Rattus norvegicus: one gene and its partners. The protein of the gene in region 3 interacts with the protein of the main gene of each other region in a biochemical or structural test. Links are inferred from orthologs where the notes say so. Each region holds a gene or a part of one and is shown on either strand. Other genes may lie near its edges.

What was found. The genes of interacting proteins can lie anywhere in the genome.
Region 1: the proteins of Rnf7 (region 3) and Ube2c form a complex in vitro, tested with the Homo sapiens proteins (4 studies listed by BioGRID). The link is inferred for Rattus norvegicus from reciprocal best matches to the Homo sapiens genes RNF7 and UBE2C.
Region 2: the proteins of Rnf7 (region 3) and Ube2f form a complex in vitro, tested with the Homo sapiens proteins (10 studies listed by BioGRID, with this or other methods). The link is inferred for Rattus norvegicus from reciprocal best matches to the Homo sapiens genes RNF7 and UBE2F.

What each region holds. Positions count from the first base shown.
Region 1 is NC_086021.1:173,924,085-173,930,195, reverse strand, and holds Ube2c (ubiquitin-conjugating enzyme E2 C), read right to left. Parts: upstream 4,222-6,111; 5' UTR 4,169-4,221; coding exon 4,068-4,168; intron 3,773-4,067; coding exon 3,745-3,772; intron 3,191-3,744; coding exon 3,104-3,190; intron 2,587-3,103; coding exon 2,322-2,586; intron 2,050-2,321; coding exon 1,991-2,049; 3' UTR 1,821-1,990; downstream 1-1,820. Other genes in the region: Dnttip1 (deoxynucleotidyltransferase terminal-interacting protein 1), read right to left, coding at 5,686-5,824, 5,927-5,982. UniProt on the Homo sapiens protein: Accepts ubiquitin from the E1 complex and catalyzes its covalent attachment to other proteins. In vitro catalyzes 'Lys-11'- and 'Lys-48'-linked polyubiquitination.
Region 2 is NC_086027.1:99,291,336-99,297,735, forward strand, and holds the start of Ube2f (NEDD8-conjugating enzyme UBE2F), read left to right. Parts: upstream 1-2,179; 5' UTR 2,180-2,297; intron 2,298-2,535; exon of another isoform or gene 2,536-2,707; intron 2,708-6,142; exon of another isoform or gene 6,143-6,186; 5' UTR 6,187-6,202; coding exon 6,203-6,320; intron 6,321-6,400. UniProt on the Homo sapiens protein: Accepts the ubiquitin-like protein NEDD8 from the UBA3-NAE1 E1 complex and catalyzes its covalent attachment to other proteins. Together with the E3 ubiquitin ligase RNF7/RBX2, specifically neddylates cullin-5 (CUL5).
Region 3 is NC_086026.1:105,917,206-105,922,614, forward strand, and holds the end of Rnf7 (RING-box protein 2), read right to left. Parts: intron 4,565-5,409; coding exon of another isoform or gene 4,527-4,564; exon of another isoform or gene 4,505-4,526; coding exon 4,457-4,504; exon of another isoform or gene 4,405-4,456; intron 2,180-4,404; coding exon 2,061-2,179; 3' UTR 1,190-2,060; downstream 1-1,189. UniProt on the Homo sapiens protein: Catalytic component of multiple cullin-5-RING E3 ubiquitin-protein ligase complexes (ECS complexes), which mediate the ubiquitination and subsequent proteasomal degradation of target proteins.

The sequences.
Region 1 (6,111 bases), on a different chromosome or scaffold from region 3:
GTGGTGGTGGTGGTGGTGGTGGGGGTGGTGGTAGTGGTGGTGGTGTGTCTGTGTGTATGCTACAGTGCGCATGTGGAGGTCAGAGGATGCTGTTCTGAGTTGATGGAGCTCACATCATCAGGATAGATACTCTCCAACCACCCACGTCCTTATGTGGCTTTTAAGTAGTTACATACAGCTCTGAGTCCTCGGAACTGGGTAGGTCAGTTGACTACATAGGGAACTGAACACCATCACGAAGGACCACACAGTACAGCCTTCCAAGGCAGACACAAATACGACCACTTCAGCATTTATCTGGAATGGATTTAGTGCCAGTTTCTGGGCACTCCCGTTCTCAGGCATTCTTTGTTCTAGTCAGTCCTGGGTGGTGCCTGTGCTGCTTCAAGGACCATGCCCCTTTCCTTTGCTGGAATTACAGGCTTGTTCCACCCTGTCGACCTTGAGATAGAGCTTGATAATGCTAAGGATTCTACGTAGACCAGGCCGGCCTTGAACTCTTAGCCATCTTCCTGCTTCTACTTCCAAGGGTTGGGATTACAGGAGTCACTACCAGCATCTGGCTCACTTTCCCTCCCTTAGATAGGGTATAGCTCAGGCAGGCCTTAAACTATGACCTCAAAGATGATCTTGAACTCTCTGCCTGTACCTCCTGGAGTTTTGGGATGACAGGCATACACTAGGATAATGTTCTGGGGACTGAATGCAGGGTCTCATGGATGACAGGCAAAAACTCTTCCGACGAAGTCACAGTCTTTGATGAACAACTTGTATGTTAACTAGACCACAGCAAAAGTAACCTGGGGCTCACCAGAAGTGCGGCTCTTCCGCCTCCCTTCCTCCCACAGTTGAATTTTAACAAGATCCCAAGTGGGTTTGTCCACATTAAGATGGATTATAAAGTTCTATGCCCTGGGGCTGCAGAGATGGCTCAGTGGTTAAGACACTGGCTGTTCTTCCAGAGGTCCCGAGTTCAATTCCCAGCATCCACATGGCACCCACTGTCTGTAACTCTTGTTTCAGGGGACCCAATACCCTTAAATATACATGTAGTCAAAACACCAATGTATATAAATTAAAAATGAGTAAAGTATTTAATAAAAGCTCTATGCTGAGGAGGAAACTAAGAACACAACTCACTTCAGAGCGGACTTTTTCCCACTAAAAGCCTAGGGAAGAGCAGGGGCTAACAGTAGTTAACAGGGGCCCAGAACCTTCCTGACAGGCCAGGCCCTCTGCCTCCCCTCCCCTCCCTCTTCCCACAGGGCTGTACAGCCAGCTGCTTGACACTTGGGTAGGACCCATAACACCCTGTGGAGATGGAGCAGGAATCACCCACCTGGGTCTAGAGCTCAATCTTTCTTATCTTCTGAGCTTGAGCCTGCTACAGGGCAACTTGAGTGGGGTCTCCCATCCTCCAGATCTTTAACATCTTAGAAAGTGGGTGTCTAGCACTCCCACACTACAGACTCTTGAGCTGAAGGTCTGGTTTAGCCTCCTCTGCATCCCAACCGGAACTGTTCTGATGGAGTATTTGTAGTTTATGCTGTGACCCCACAGAAGTGTGAGCTTTGGTGCTGGGCACCTCCCTCGGATTAAACAGGCTCTCTGCCCGGGAAGCTATACCTCCAGGCAAATACACAATGTGACACCCACTTGAGAAGAAATATATGCAGAGCGATAAGGTAAGACACAAAGTCACTTCTCAGTGACCACACTGTCTTATCAGCTGCTTCCAACCCTGTACACGTCAGGTCAGAACCCAGATTTTAAGCTAGTGCCCCTCCCCCATCCTCTGGCTGAGGTTAACTTTGAGACAGCAATTTATACAAAAACAATCAACGTGCATTTATTTAATATACATTGTATGGGTTCAAGCAGACTTAATTTAAAAAAACAAATAAAACAAAACAGCACAGCTCAGAAACCACGGAGAAAGGACAGACATCTAAGAAAAGAGACGACACAAGAGAAAGCTGGAGAGCTGGCGTCAGGGCTCTTGGTTGGAGACCTGCTTTGAATATGTTTCTTGCAGGTACTTCTTAAATGCTGGAAGAGAACATAGGGGGCTCGGGTGAGTGATGGATGGGGGAGGCCTATTCTCCCTGTCCAGCAGATACCCCAGTGTTGCCATCTGGTTGGCTCCCTGGGACACTGGTTTCCAGAGTCCAGAAAGGAACAGGAGATATATTCTACCCCCCCGACCCCTTCATCTTTGTGAGTATGGAGAAGCAGTGAGGGGGATGAGGGAGAAACCAACCGAGTCCCCAGGGTCCCTTTGTACGTTAGCAAGGGTCACTCTGAGCTGGACAAGGCCCTACCTGTGGGGTTTTTCCAGAGCTCTGCAGCATGTGTGTTCAAAGGGCTCTCGATGTTGGGTTCTCCTAGCAGGCTCTGGATGGAGAGCAAGATGGTCCTGACATCATACAGTGCAGACCACTTGTCCTTGAGGATGTCCAGGCAGATGTTGCCCTGGGTGTCCACGTTGGGGTGGTAGCACGGTGTGAGGAACTTCACTGTGGGTGCGTTGTAAGGGTAGCCACTGGGGAACTCTAGGGAGAGTTTATACCTCAGGTCTTCATATACCTGGCATTCGGGGAAAGAAGGGCAGGGTAAGCCTGTGTTCACCTTGTGCCCTCACTTCCCCCATCCCACCCCAGCAGGCCACATTCTATCCAAGCCCCAAATAAGGGCCATGCAGGTAGGAACTTAGGAGTGCGTCTGCGTCTGACTAGCAAACTGTATGCTAAGTTGGCCTATGACATCAGTGACCTTCTGGTCAAAAGATTGACCTGGCATCCTGAGCGAGGGCTACCAGAGTGGTCCGACTAATATCTCAATTACTAAAGGGAAAATTTAGATCCAATTTCTGACTTAAAACCAGATCTGCAGTAACTGGAAGCTGTTAGTGCCCTCCCACAAGCCAAGATGCCCCGCCTACTCTATCACTCACTGCCTTGAGAGTGCCTTTCCCTCACACTGAAGAACACAACCACAGGGCTCAGAGCCTGTGAACAGGCTCAGGGCACTGAAGCCGACCTAGCACTTGGAGTTCACTTCCTCAGCTAAGTTCACCACACTTAGCAAAGTGCTGCCCACTTACAGTGCCGGCGGCTCCATGGATGGTTCCTACCCATTTGAACAGGTTGTCTGATTCGGGGAAGGCGGAAATTCCTTTGTCACCAGACATCTGAGGAAGGAAACACCCAAATGATGCATTTGAGCATACACTTATAGGCACAGCAAAAGGGATCAGTGGGTGAGCGACTGCCCCGCCCGAATCATGCTATGCCTCTAAATAAAGCAGCCAAGCCACGGGCTGATCACCACGCTAGGGCAGCAGGGAAGCACCTTCAGTGCTTCCAAATTTTGCCTCTTCTGTTTTTCACCTGGGATTTAAATGTCACTAAAACATGTAGATTGCTACTTAGGGGTAATGTAGCAATGGACAACCAGAGGAGAGAATTCTCTAAGGGATACCAATTCCAAGAAGGGTGGGGATGGGCAAGGTTAGAGCTGGGGCCAGAAAAGTAAGTAGGGATGAACCCAGATAAGGTTATGACTCCATACACAGCTGCGGTGCTCAAGTGAGGGCTGGCATTCAAAGGGCTTCCCGTAAGAGAGAGAGTGAATTACACCCATAGTATGTATGAGCAGGTAGCCACAGTAGTAAAGGAGGCTACTGATAATTGGGTGGGGGATGGAAAGATAGGCCAATTGATCTTAGAACACGCAGTCACTCACCATGAGGGTCATCAGCTCCTGCTGTAGCCTGCAAAGAGAAGTCAAGGTTACTCGGGGGCACTGTGGAGGTGATACATCACTTCCCACCAAACTATCCTGAAGAGTTGTCATGGAGGCCTTGCCCCTTCTTCAAAGGCAGGTTTAGCTCGGGCGCTTATCATCTACAGGAGGACCCAGATGAGCCTTCTGGCCGCATGTTAACCCCAGCGCTCGCCGAACCACCTATGAGAGTTGCCTGGCAGCGCCGTCAGCCTTCCATTTCCTGCGTTCCTGGTGCCCCTCTTGTGTCCCAAGGCCCCCGGGGTGACCTCCGCACCACTCACCTCTTGCCCACAGGGCCCCGGGCGGCGCCCCCGCAGGGTTCTGCTCCTTTTCGAACGGCGGCAACGCTGGCTGCAGCTGGGTCGCGGTTCTGCGAGGCCATCCCAGAGGTGCTGGCACGGAGACAAGCGTGTGGAGAGGAAAGAGCAACTGCGGGGCTGCGGGCCGCCGCCCGCGTTTGAATTGTAACCCTCCTGCTGCGCTAGCCAATCAGAGGCTCGCTTGGGTTTGATCCAGCCAATGGGACGCCCAGGATTGCTCTGCCTCTGCGCAACTGCTAGGCCACCCAGTAATGCACTGCGATTGGACGGCGGGGCGTACTTCGGATAGCCGATTGGTGAAGAAGGCTGCCATTAACTAACGAATAGGTGGCAGATTGGTGGCCTTTGGACGACGCCGACCATTAAAGGGTCAAAGGAAGGGTCCACGTGTGTACGCCGCCCCTCCCCCGCCGGGTCTCTTGGAACCCTGACTTCTGCCGTCAGTCTGTAATTTGGCTATGCAGCCAGGTATGAATTTGACTTCTTGATCCTCCTTGCTTTCACTTCCAAGGGTTGAGATTTCACGAGCGAGTGCTCCACACGCCCGGCAATGGTTGGACCTCCGTCCAGATCCGCTGGTCGGTCCAAGCACACACACGCCCAGCAGGGAGCACATCTTCCGGAAAAGGGAGAACTTGACAGTGTTATTCTCCAAGCCGGAAGCCTTTTCTCCTCATCCTAATAAAAATGTTAGTTACTTTTTTGGGTTCCCAAGAACTTAAAAAAAAAAAAAAAACTTAGAAAGGCGCCGGTTGTCAGAGCAGACTCCCCATCTATTAGTAAACGTGGGTTCAGGTGGCGCATGCCTGTAATCCCATGGAAGGTGAGGACAGGCAGGTCAAGAGTTGAGGGTTATCTCTAGGTTAGCCTGGGCTATATGAGACTGCGCCTTAAGGAGACAAAAACAAGGTCTGATGGTGCTCAACGCCTTTAATCCCAACCAAGGCGGAATCTTTGAGTTTTAGGTTAGCCATGGCTACATGTCAGAGATCCTGTCTCAATCCCAAAAGGCAAAAACAAAACAAAAACAAAGAACCCCCCCAAAAAACAACAACCAAAAAACCCATACTCTACTAAGTTTGCTTACAGCCTCAGCAGTCAGTGAGTGTGTTAGCCTATAGCCTATAACATTGGGAAAATAAAAGGCAACTGCATTTTTCCTTTGGTAGGCCATCCTTCCCTTTGGGCTAGCCTTCACACTGTGCAACATTCCTAAGCTGGAACAAGGACGGAGACTGTGGGAGAGCACAGATGAGGTGGGCAGGCATGTAGGTGGTCCGTTTCTGGTGTGCAGACTTATTTGGCCCTTGCTCTGTCAGGTCCCACAAGGCACTCATTACAGCAGGCTCACCACCTGTGTTTATTACAAACTTGTTTAATTGCTTCTTATTCCAATAACTTTAGAAACAGAACCACAAGCCAGTCTGGGGGGCTCTGCAGTGAGTCACTACAAACTAGCTCATGTACAGCTTGATGCTGCTAAGAGCCAACTAGACCGCATCCCCATGATGGCCTCAGCCGGGCCGGGAAAGAGGGTCTGGGAGGCAGACTGCCAAGTGTAGTAGCCAGGACACTCGGCTCAGGTCTGGGGAGTTGCTTCAGCAGCACGATGCTCATTTTCTGTCCGTAGTGTCTCCATGTATTTCCGCATCTTCTCAACCATCCAGGATGGCAGAACAAAGGACTTCAGCTCCTCCAACTTCAGGTCCAAGCATCCTCTGTAGGAGACATTGGGTGGAGATTAAAGGGAGGGTGCCAGCCTCCTCTGTGTGCCTACCGAGGCAGAAGGAGATTGGGGGAAGGGGCCCCCTTCTGTATACCTGTAGTCATCGCTGGCAGCCAAGTCTCGGATGTCTTCCTCAATGAGAAGGTACGCCTGAGGGCAAGGGAGAGGGATTCAGGACTCTGATTCATTTCACAGCAAATCAGAAACTCTATTAGGTAGAAGATGCAGGCTGCAGCTTACAGGTCGCTAGGGAGGAGGACGCAGGAAGACACTGGGAAT
Region 2 (6,400 bases), on a different chromosome or scaffold from region 3:
CCTAGAAGTGACTCACCTCTTTGCAATGTCGAGATTCAGGCACTATTGGTGAGACACTGGTTCCAGCTGTGTCTGCCTTTGTAGTCTGGCTTCAAGCTCTTATCTTTTTTCACCAGGACTTTGCACACTCTTGCAGAACTTGCCAACAAAATGGGTTCTGAACACCTGGTGTGGGTCCAAAGAAGAGCGAGCGGGGAGAGCTAACAGGAGAGGAGCTGTAAGATAGTGCTGTTTAAGCTTAGGAAAATAAGACAAGGGCTGAAGAGATGGTTCAGTGGTTAAGAACATGCACGGTTCTTACAGAGGACCTGAGTTCAACTCCCAGCACCCCCATGCAACTGCTTGTAACTCAAGCATCCAAGGAATTTCCCCTAACTTTGGACACATATACAGGCATACACACGTGTACAGGTAAATAAATAAAATGTTTAAAAAAAAATAAAAGGAAAATGAGACAAGAGTTAGCTGAACAAAGAACAGGTGTTTTCCTGAGAGGATAAGGTGGCTTGTCATAAAGAGTTCACTTGAGTACTGTAAAAGCTATTCCTGGTTGTCAACTTGACTATATCTGCTCTAAACTACAATCCAGAATCAGAGGGCTCACCTGTGATCTCGATCTTGAGGCTGGAAGATCTTGAGTTTCTGACTTGGATCACAATAAATTGCCTCAATATAGAGACATTCCATACGTTCTGTGACTCGAGAGAACCCTAATACAAGTACCATCTCTTCTTTGCTCATGGCCTCCCTTAGATCAAAAGCCTTGTTTGTTTGTTTGTTTATTGAGACAGGGTCTCACTATGTAGCTCAGATTATCCCGGAATTCACTATGTAGACCAGGCTGGCAAGTGCTAAGATTAAAGCTGAGTGCCACCATGCCCAGCTGCCTTTTACCCTTCATATCTGTGCACAAGTGTGTATCTGATGTATGTATCTGATGTACGCACACGTGAGCCCGAGTAACGTGTGTAGCTATGTATGTGCTACATCGGGTGATCTAAGGATAACTTTCCTTCACTTTTTTGTGTTTAAGACAGATTTTCATTAAGTCACCCTGGCTGGTTTGGAATTCTATGTAATCTAGGCTGTTCATCGCAGGATCTCTTTCCCTCTACAGGGTACTTGGTCCTAATCCTCTGAGGATTCCTCTGCCTAGGCTTCACATCTTCCCACCTGAGTTTGGAAACAGGTCCTCATGCCGACAAATGCTTTACTCACAGAGCCCAATTGCCTTCTTTCGAAAGAAATTTTAGGATCTAGGGGCCATGTAGCTCAAGGGTAGTGTTTTGCAGGTGAGACTTCTGGAGTTCGTTCCCCAGAACCACAAAGAAAATAAATGAAATCTTAACATTCCTTGGTCTTTTCCACAGCAAATATTCTCTTTTCAAGGCCCTACCTCTCTAGGAGTCTTGCCTATTTCTCTCAGAGTAGAAGATCTCCAGTCCCACAGGGACAGAGAATTCATACCCCATGAGCTGCAAGAAGAACGCTGCAAATGGAACTACAGGGCCTTACATATGCAAAGCAAGTTCCCCCACCACTGCTATACATCTAGGGGCCTGAAGCGTATTTTTGAGGCAGGCTCTTTCTACGTATCTCTGGCTGTCCTGGAATTTAATATGTAGACCAGGCCTTCCTCTGTCTCTCGGGCGCTGGGATCGAAGGTATGCCCCCCAAACTCCAGGCCTAAAGCAGATTTTTAAAGTGCACATAGGAATACTAGGAACAGGAGAAATTAAAAAATAAGAAGCAGGAAGAGTGCCCTCACATCCATCAGCCACCTGATGCAATCTGCACCTCTAACAATCCCGTAGCCCTAATGCAGCTGCAGACAGGTCGGATCGTTTGCATTCAGGACTGGTGCTGGGCATAGGGCTATAGCTCCACCAGCAGGCACTGTATTAGTGTGGTACACGGAAGGATCAAGCGGCTAAATGAATGGAAACAAGCCGGAAGGCCGTGTGCCGGGGTCCTGGACGCAGGTGCCTCCATGACCAATCAGTAAAGGTTTTGCCACATGGCCTGTCCTCAGGTCGTGCTCTCCACCAATGAGCGACGGTCACCTAGTTGGCCGGTGTACGCGACTGTCCGCGCGTGGAGCTGCCAATAAAGTTCTTTATAGCTTTGAATTTTTTTTTTAAAGTGACCGCTGCGGTCACGGCGCAGTCCCCGCCCCGCCACTTCCGGTCCCGCCGCCGGGAGCCGGTGCGGCTGTGAAGGCCAGCGCGACTCGGTGCCGCTGCTGGCCGGGCATGATTTTGGGTGCCGGCTTGCCTCGCCTGACTCGCGGTGCTCAGGTGAGCTGGTCGCGCGGGCTGGGCTGAGGCCGCGGCTCCTCTCGCCGGGCGCCACGCGGGACCGCGAGATCGGCGGCTGACGGGAAGCGCTGGGCGGGCAGCGAGCCCCCGCGGCTCTGAGGGCCGGGCCGAGGCGGACCCCGTGCCGCCGCCCGCAAGGTCACGGTCCGGAGCTCGGGCCGTCCGGGAGGCCGAGGCCGCGGCGGGGAGGCCGCTGTCCCTGAAGGGAGGCGGGAGGTGGACACAGCCCGCCACGGCGAGGGCGGGGAGGAGGGGCGGCCGGCCCGCCTGGCCCGGTTCGGTCCCTGACCCGGTTCCGCGGCGTGTCACCTGGGGTGTGGCCTTCTCTCCAGCGGGCTCAGTTTCCTCCGTCTCCGGTGGGCATTGGACCCCACTCCTCGGGGCTGCCGGTGGGTTGGAGTTGCTGAAGGCGGCTTCCTGGAGGGGAGACTGGCCTGTGGGTAGAAATCTGCTCTCCTTAAGAACCTGGTAGGGCTTGGCGGTGAAGGGAAAGAGGGCATCCCAAGACCTGGTTATCAGATTGAACAGAAGGTTCCAGAAATGAGCAGGGTGGTGTTGAAAAACAGTGAGGTGGCTGGTGGGCCTGGTGCCGAGGCTTCCTAGCTGTTTGGGCCGAATGTTGGGAGCTCGGCAGTACGAGAGAGACTCATAGGTGGGAATTAAGAGGGATAGTGATGGAGGGAACTTCAGGAACAGAATTAACCTGGACAGAATTAACTTGGCATTCAGTACCCAAAATCAAAGATGAGTCCGGAGGCGGTCAGTCAATAAACCGGGTTAGAGGCCCTTGGGCACTCATGCTGTACGATACTGGGGTGCGGAAGTTTTTAAAGTCTCAGTCTGAGCGCTTGCCTAGCAAGCGTAAGGCCCTGGGTTCAGTCCCCAGCTCCGAAAAAAAGAAAAAAAAAAGTTTAAAGTTTCAGTCTGTTTCTTTAGACTTGAGAGGTTAGGCATCCTTAGTAGCCCCGTAGTCCTCTCTTAAATGGCTTCGATTGGAACTGTCAGTGAGGAGTTAGCCTCACCTTGAGCTGCCTGGCCCTGCCCAGGGGACATCAGCTTGATTTCAGCACAGCACATAGGAATGCTGAATAAACATGATTTGGTGAGACTGGTAAATAACACACTACAGTCCTCTTTGGATGGCCCAAAGGCTGGTCCCACCCAGAGGAGGAACTAAGTGGGCCAATTACAACTTGTGGAATTTGAAACTCAGCATGCTGTTCAGAATAGCTGATCTGTTCCCAAGATACTGCCTTAGTCACAGTGTGATTTTTTTTTCCCCCAAGAAAAGGGAAGTTTTGGTCAAAGTGGGGTTTTCTAGAGGTGGGACATGTTGAGGAGGGAAAGAGAATTCAGAGGTAACTTCTACCCTTTTGATAGTTCGAGTAACTGTTTTTGTTTGATCCCCTTGTGTAGATTTAATTTTCTGATTGTGGGACATTTCCAAATTGAGACTTTGGTTTATTCCCTCACATGCTAGTGAAAGTGATGCAGATGATAGATAAAATAGCGGATACTCTAATCTTACTTGCCTTAGAGTATCAGAAAGTACGTGTTGGGTTTTCTGTGGAGACACCACCAGTGTTGTTTTCTACCTTGCACAGTCTTCACACAACATGTCCTACTGGAAAAGCCTACAGCTCACTGAAGATTACAAGTTAGAATCCACACCACACAGAGTAGAGCATGGTATGCCCATCCTCTGCCTCTGAGGGTGTGAGAGCAGTAGGCAGAGCCCTTGGACTGCAGTGGCAGGTCTAAGCAGCCAAGTGCAGGTTTGCAGGGTGTGGAGCAGCTTCTGTTCTTCATTTTCCAAGAAGCTGTTGTGACCACTAGGGACTGCCTGCTCAACCCTTAACCAGTGCTTTCCCGTTTCACTTTCCACCACTTGCCTTAGTGATACCAAAGGTGAAAACCTAATGGTCCTCGTGTGGAACATCCTCACTGGTCCCAGCAGTGTATAGGGTTGTTGTCTTGGACATTGTCAGACACCCCTGATGGCCCAAGGTCTGAGCATGGAGTGGTGGACTTAGACTTGGCCAAGGTGGGAAGCACTAACTCATGATCCTGCTTGAGGAATTTCTGACAAGATCATTCCAGGCGGCAACAAGGCAGGAAAACATTGTTACGGTTCTGCTGTTTTGGGAGCTTGTGGGCTGGAGTCCCTCTGGGGAAGTGACTTAGCGAAGACTGGAGGATGTCTGTGTTCTGACAAGGCTCATCTTTTCACATAGATGCCCCTAAGGAGAAGCTATTACAGAGTAGGACTGAACTGGCCCATCACTTCATGACTGATCAATGTTTGTATAAACTACACCATACCCACACTTACAACACATCTAAATGAAAACTAGTTTTTTTTGTGGTGAGTGCTTCTTATAGCTTAGTGTCTTGGACACTCATCCTCCAGGCCTGTTTCAGGAGGTGTGTGTGTGCATGTCTGCCAGTGTGCATTAGTGTTAGGAGTCTTTCCCAGATTTCAGAGCTATGAGCTTAAGCATACTGATGTGCAATACAAGAATTGTTTGGTACATTTAGACAAATGATACTTTCTGATTTTATTTTGGTATTTTTACCTTCCTTTTCTGATACATCTACTGTAGCCCTGACTAACCTCCAACTGACAGTCCTCCCTCAGCCCCCCAAATACTGATGTTACAGGTGTGTGCCGCTGTGGCCAGTGTAACCAGTCCTTATTGTGGCAGGGTCATGGGAGGATCATAGTCACTGTCTTGTTTTTGTGACACGTGATACAAAGTGAAATCTGCCCTTTACTAGGGATACACAGAACGTGGCGTGAGAAATTAGGCAAAAGAGTTGCATTTGAGGGTTTTTAAATTCTGAAGAGAGGAATATTCTTGTGTTCGAGGTCTGAGCCTTAAGTTTGACCTCTCAGGTAAAACTTTTCCTCTGTAAGTTTTAGATTTTGTTTGACTGAGAAATTATCAGGCCTATATTGAAAGGAGATGCTTTTAAAACAAGAAAGGAAACTATGCAAATATTGTACTACTTACCCTTGCTGGAGTGTTGGTATGAGGGGTGTCTGACCGATGGAAGTGTATAATAGACACAGAAGGCAGCTTGTGGAGGTAGGGATCGCTGACACCCTAATGTAAATTGTACTCGGAGTGCAAATATCTTCACTCCACTGGTCCATCGGTTAGAACAAATAAAGCCTTGCAGGGAATGCTGATAGTGAGAGCGGAGAGCAGGCACACGAAGTGCTACACCTTCTGCCCGGCAGTTGTTGCTCTGATGCGGCTGTTGAACGAACAGTCGAACAGTCGAAGGCTTACCGGGTGAGTGGCAGCCCTTTTTGTGGTAGGCAGTCAGGAGCATTCCCTCACCTGCCTTTGGAATTTGCTGTCCTTCCCAGGGAGGTTATGGCTTGAGAGTCTGAAGCAGCCAGGGAAGAGTCCAGTTTGGGGTATTGATGTTGACATTGCAAATCAGTAAATGCAGCAGTCCTTTGAAGGCTGTGTACCTTTCCTTAGAGGGTGAAGGAAAGCAAAGCATCGATGTCCCCTTCTGCCCTAGAGACTTGTGCCCTCAGGCCACACCTGATCCTTTTGCTTCGGGGACACTCCCTTCCTTCCATTTGCAACCTTTGGTGAATGAGTACAATTGTGGGAGTGGGTGGGGCTTGATTGTGATTGAACCAGCACACACTGTACCTCGTGAGTGTGAACTTGTGGCTCCCCTAAACATTACTTGTTAAGATTCCTTGTGAAGGAATCTAGTCTTATTAATATATGTAGAAAATTTTAAACAAATTTTAGAGACTCTAAAATAAAAACACCCGTGTATGTATTTCTCTTGTCTAGTGTCTGGAGACATGGCCCTAACCCTCCCCTTGCCTGTCTTCCAGAAGAAAGGTGGCAGTAATGCTAACTCTGGCAAGCAAGTTGAAGCGGGATGATGGTCTCAAAGGATCCCGGGCCTCAGCCTCCACATCCGACTCCACTCGGAGGGTTTCTGTGAGAGACAAGTTGCTTGTTAAAGGTAATTGTCAGCCATGGGGGCTGTTTTTATACCTGTAACAAAGTGAAGCGAGTCTGCAGGCTCCTTGGGATGGATGCACA
Region 3 (5,409 bases):
AGCCTGGATGGTAGGGCAGTTTGACTCTGTAAGGAGCTGATTCTGTTGCTGCACTGACTGGCCTTGAACAAAGGATTGGTAGTCAAGGACCAGCTGGTCTACCCGTTTGCCAGTGTGATGGCTGTTCTGGGTCAACTTGACTACATCTGGAATGAACTACAGTCAGCAAACCTTACACTGCGTTTCAAAGTGAAAACCTGCTCAGTGGTTTTGGAACCTACAACTAAACTGCCTCTGCATGTTTTTTCGGAACTCTGGGATGGCTGTGCAGATGAGGGGGGTTGTGCCAATAGGGAATGGGGTCAGAAGCTTTTGTCTCACCCCTTCATCCTCCTCTCGTGTGTAGCATAGTAGGGCTTTGTTAGCATTTCGCTGGGTGGAGCACTGGCTCATTACTGCTATCCAGAATCCACTTATGAACTGTCAAAGCCACCTGATGTACATGACGGGAGACTTCCACCTTCACAGCAAAGCCAAGCACCTGTTTACTCTCTGACTACCTTTATATATAAAAAAGTCTATAGACTCATTCAAACATACTTTTAGTACCTAGAAAATTTAGAAACTATTTACCCATATTTTTAGTGGGTCTGACAGAAGCGAGTTTCAGAGAAACCAGACTAACAAGTAAGATCGTAGCTTATGAGGCTTGTGGTGTGAACGCCTGCAACAGTCGTGCTTGGGAGGCAGAGCCCGGGCCAGCTCCGTTCACTTTCAGTCCAGCGAGGGCTACAGTGCAACCCGGTCTCAAACTCTCCATAATTCTGAATTCATTGTGATTCTAAACACATTTAGAAAATCATTTTTAGAGCATCTAAGAGTGTTTGTCTGTATGTATGTGTGTGTACCTCCATGTTTACATGGGCACTGTGTACATGTAATACTCACAGAAGCCAAGAAGAGGATAATGGATTCCTTGGAACTGGAGTTACATAGCTAAGGGTCAACAAGGGTGCTAGAAATCAATCTGGGTCCTCTGCAAGAGAAGCAAGTGCTTTTAAATGACTAGGCCATCTTCCCTGTCCTTAAGGTTTTTCCATGAGTCCTTGGGACCGGAAGTCTGTTCCTCTGACTCACACAGCATTTCACACACTGAGACATATTTTCCTACTGGAACAGTTTGATAAAATGTTTGTTTGTGTGTTTCCAAGTAATTTTTACTACCAAATAAAGAGTATAAAGTATTTACTGAATTATTTTAATGAATTTAAGAGTAGAGATCAAACTTTAATAACTCAAAGCACAATATTTCATTTATTAAAGCATTGCATAATGAACTCCGGTGCCATACTGCTAAGCATTTTCCCACTAATATTTTGACTAAAACATACAATACAACCTTCCCAGAAACAGAAAATACTTCTTTAACCCTAAGCGGTTGAACAGTGAAACAGTAGTTTCCTTGACTTCTGGTTTCTTTTTTTTTTTTTTTTTTGGTTCTTTTTTTCGGAGCTGGGGACCGAACCCAGGGCCTTGCGCTTCCTAGGTAAGCGCTCTACCACTGAGCTAAATCCCCAGCCCGACTTCTGGTTTCTTAACAGTTACACTGTATTTACCCTCTTCACTCAGTACAAGTTAACCCTCATTTATAGAAAAGAAGATACCATGGGTTGCCTCACTCCCAACAACAAAGGGTATTAGGAGCAAAGGGTAGGAGTTGGCTTCTCAATGCATTTTATTTTTTAGTGTAACATTCTTTTATTTATTTTTTTAGCCACCAAGCATAAACACAAAATGTTCTTCTGTGAACGCAATGCTCTCCCAGCCCTTATGTACTGACAGATAAACAACAAAGATCCTTCAATTGCTGGTGTTCAAAGCAGTACATATCACACACACCACAGAGGTAGGAAAGGCTATTTTAATAAATTATCTTAATTGTAGACAATTTCCCAAAATTAAACAGACAAAATGATAAACCATGCCTTGGATGAGTCCCAGAGGCCACACACCATTCCCTCTATCTGAAGGTGAATCCCTGGAGTGTCAAGTCTGTCCAGTGACTTGGTGACAAGGTTGTCCAGGGTCACCCACCGCACCAGGAGAGCCTCTGCCGGCTCTCACTTGCCGATTCTTTGGACCACCCAGTCCTGCTGGCACAGAGGGCAGCGGTTGTTCTGCTTCACCCACAGGGACATGCAGCAGTTGTGGAAGGAGTGGTTACATTCTCCCCAGACCACTGCAGGAGAGAGAGAGAGCAGCTGCACTAGGCCACTTGCTACATCACAAGATCTGTATCAAGACCAGACAATGAAACAAATGGACAAACAAATCCGCTGATAGGACACAGGTCAACTTAAATAGCTAAGCTCAGGGGTACAGGAAGTTAGGAAGGGACACACAGAGGGGGACGTCAGGAGAGCGCTAGGGGCAAACAGGGGGTGGGTAAAATCAACATACATTATATGCTTATATAAAATTATCAAAACAAAAATTGTAAATATTCTAAAAATTTAAATTGCTAAGTTCAAAATTATAGTTTAAAAACCAAGAAAATAGTCATGACTCATAATCCTAAAAAATGTTGAACAAGTGATCAAAACATGTTTTTTTCTATTTACAAAAATATTTACATTTAAGAAATGTGCCACTGTGTTTTTGGGGTGAAGCCACAACCCTAGCTCCTAAGTAGCTCCATTAGTTGTCTTAAGTTAGGACAGTGGGATCCCCAGACCTCCTCAGTCATGGGGCAACCTTGGAGATCTTCTGTGGTTTGCTTTATTGAAAAACATCCTTCTGGTTTTTATTTACCAAAATACAAATGTTTTACAGGCTCAACCTATAGCTGGCTGTTATAAACAGATGGTGGGCATGGAACATCAGCAGCTGTACACTGAGGCAGCTGTTTTTCTAAAGGGGTTAATTATGCTAAACCATCCAGCTGGGTGTGGTCACACCCTACAGTCCCAGAATTTGGAAGGCAGTGGGATCCCAGAGAATCATAAAAGACCACCTTGTCTACATAACAAGCTCCAAGTGAGACCAAAACCCAAAGTTAATTATACCAAAACTTACCATGACAGCAAGTGGTACAGCACTTCATCTGACAATTAGATAGGCAGAGTGGCTGAAGAGAGCCATCTCTCTGAGCAGAGTTCTTTGCTGAGACACAGCCTTGCTATAATATATAGCCCAGGCTCCCTAGAACTCACTACGTAGGCCACAGTAATTGCCCAGTCTGAGCCTTGCAGGGTACTTGGGTTACAGATGCAAGCCACCAAGCTCAGGTCTTGAAATGTTTCTTCTTTCCCTCCCTTCTGTCCTCCTACTTCCTCCTTTTCACTGTGTTTTTGAGACAGGGTCTCACTGCACAGCTGACTGGCTGGAATTTGCTGATAGACCAGGCCGGTGTCCAACTTGTAGTGGCTCCTACCTCTGCTGGGGGTACAGGTGTGTTTACCAGTCTTGGCTTAGCAGTTTTCTTTTCTTTTTTTTTTTTTTTTTTTTGGTTCTTTTTTTCGGAGCTGGGGACCGAACCCAGGGCCTTGCGCTTCCTAGGTAAGCGCTCTACCACTGAGCTAAATCCCCAACCCCAGCAGTTTTCTTTTTTTTTTTTTTTTTGGAGCTGGGGACCGAACCCAGGGCCTTGCGCTTCCTAGGTAAGCGCTCTACCACTGAGCTAAATCCCCAGCCCAGCAGTTTTCTTAATAGGAGATATTATTTCTTTCTGCTTAGCAAAACATTTATCATGACCATGAATAGAGTATATAACCAAGTCTTAAAAGAATTTGCAAATTTATTTTATTAAGGTCTTTTGAGAACTAAAACATTTTATTATTTATTAAAAAGATGTTTTACGGGGCTGGGGATTTAGCTCAGTGGTAGAGCGCTTACCTAGGAAGCGCAAGGCCCTGGGTTCGGTCCCCAGCTCCGAAAAAAAGAACCAAAAAAAAAAAAGATGTTTTACTATGAAGTCTTCTGTCAGAATTCTTTCCCTTTTAGTTTTAGTCCTAATTTTGCTTGTTTTAAAAACTATTTTTATCTATAATTGTGTGTATATGACGGGGTGGGGGTGCTCACCTCAGTTTCATGTGGAGGAGGTCAAAGACCTTTGGGGAGTCAGCCCTCTTTCTATCTTTAAAGGGGTTCCAGAGATCACGTTTAGCTCATTAGGTTTGAGATGCGAGTTCCTTTACCTACTGAGCCATCTCACCAGTCCCTAACTGCCCTAAGCATTTTATAGTCATAATTAATCACTGCTTTATGGTTTATTTTTATGTACTGACCAGGACATTTCTCTCTCTTTCAGGTTTTTTTTTGTTTGTTTGTTTTTTTTTTGAAAACAGGTCTCACTACATAGCAAAAGCTGGCCTCAACTGCTCTACTTCTGGATTTACAGGCCTGGGTAACCTCAGCCAGTTTAATAAAGTCAATTTTAATTGCAAATTCAAACATTCCCACAGAGACAGAAGAAAAACCTTTAATTGGAAAGGCAGGAGAAAGAATTACCACATACCAACACAGTCCTCTTGTTTGTTTTCAGCTTGACATCTAAGACAGGCATCTGAAAGTAAACAGAGCGAATCTCATCTGGAGTTCAGGAGGCAACACTGGAAACCCAGACCTTCAAAGTCAAACAAAAAAGCCCCAAGGATCAGAGATGAAGAGAAGTCTTATATTATTAATTTCTCTCCTAAAAACAACTATTAAAGAGAAATACAACATGTGGCATTCTGCTAACTCCCCAATGTGATTTTACAAGCTCGCATGACAAGACAGCTTGGTGACCACACTACAGGAAGTCACTCTAGATAGAGATGCCAAAAAGTTATTGTAGACCCCCAGGTTGCTCGTGCACATGGACCAACTTTAGAGGTATTTACTTCAAGACACCATTGTAAATAACCCATAGCCATGTATTGATTATTTGATTATATACACATAAGGATCTAGAAGGATACTAGGGAACTAATAAAGGTTTTGTTTTAGGAGTTCACGTAGCCCCAGCTATCCACTAACCTGAACTGCCACACCAAATCATCACCTTAAAATCCTGCCTCTACCTTCTACCTCCAAGTTTTGGAATCACAGGCACGTGCCCCCAGCTCTCCCAATAATGAAGTTTCCACATCTACTCCCTTACTTTTAAACTATGTGACTATACAACCTGCTTGAAAGTTAAAGGCTTTTTCTAATCGTTTCATAAGCAAAATTCCTTTCCTTTGTTTTTGAGACTGGGCTTCATGTTGCTCAAACTGACGTAGATGATTTGAACCCCTAATCCTCAATGCATTCACAGTATTGACAAAGTACTTGAATAAATTACTTAGGAGTAAATACTAAGAAGAGGAACCTAAGAAGTTCTAAATTTAGTCGTTTCTAAAATCCGATCAGTACTAGACTTGAGGAGCTAATAAAACGGAGTCATTCTTTAACTGTATTAGTAGTCCAAATTAGGTAAAAGAAAGC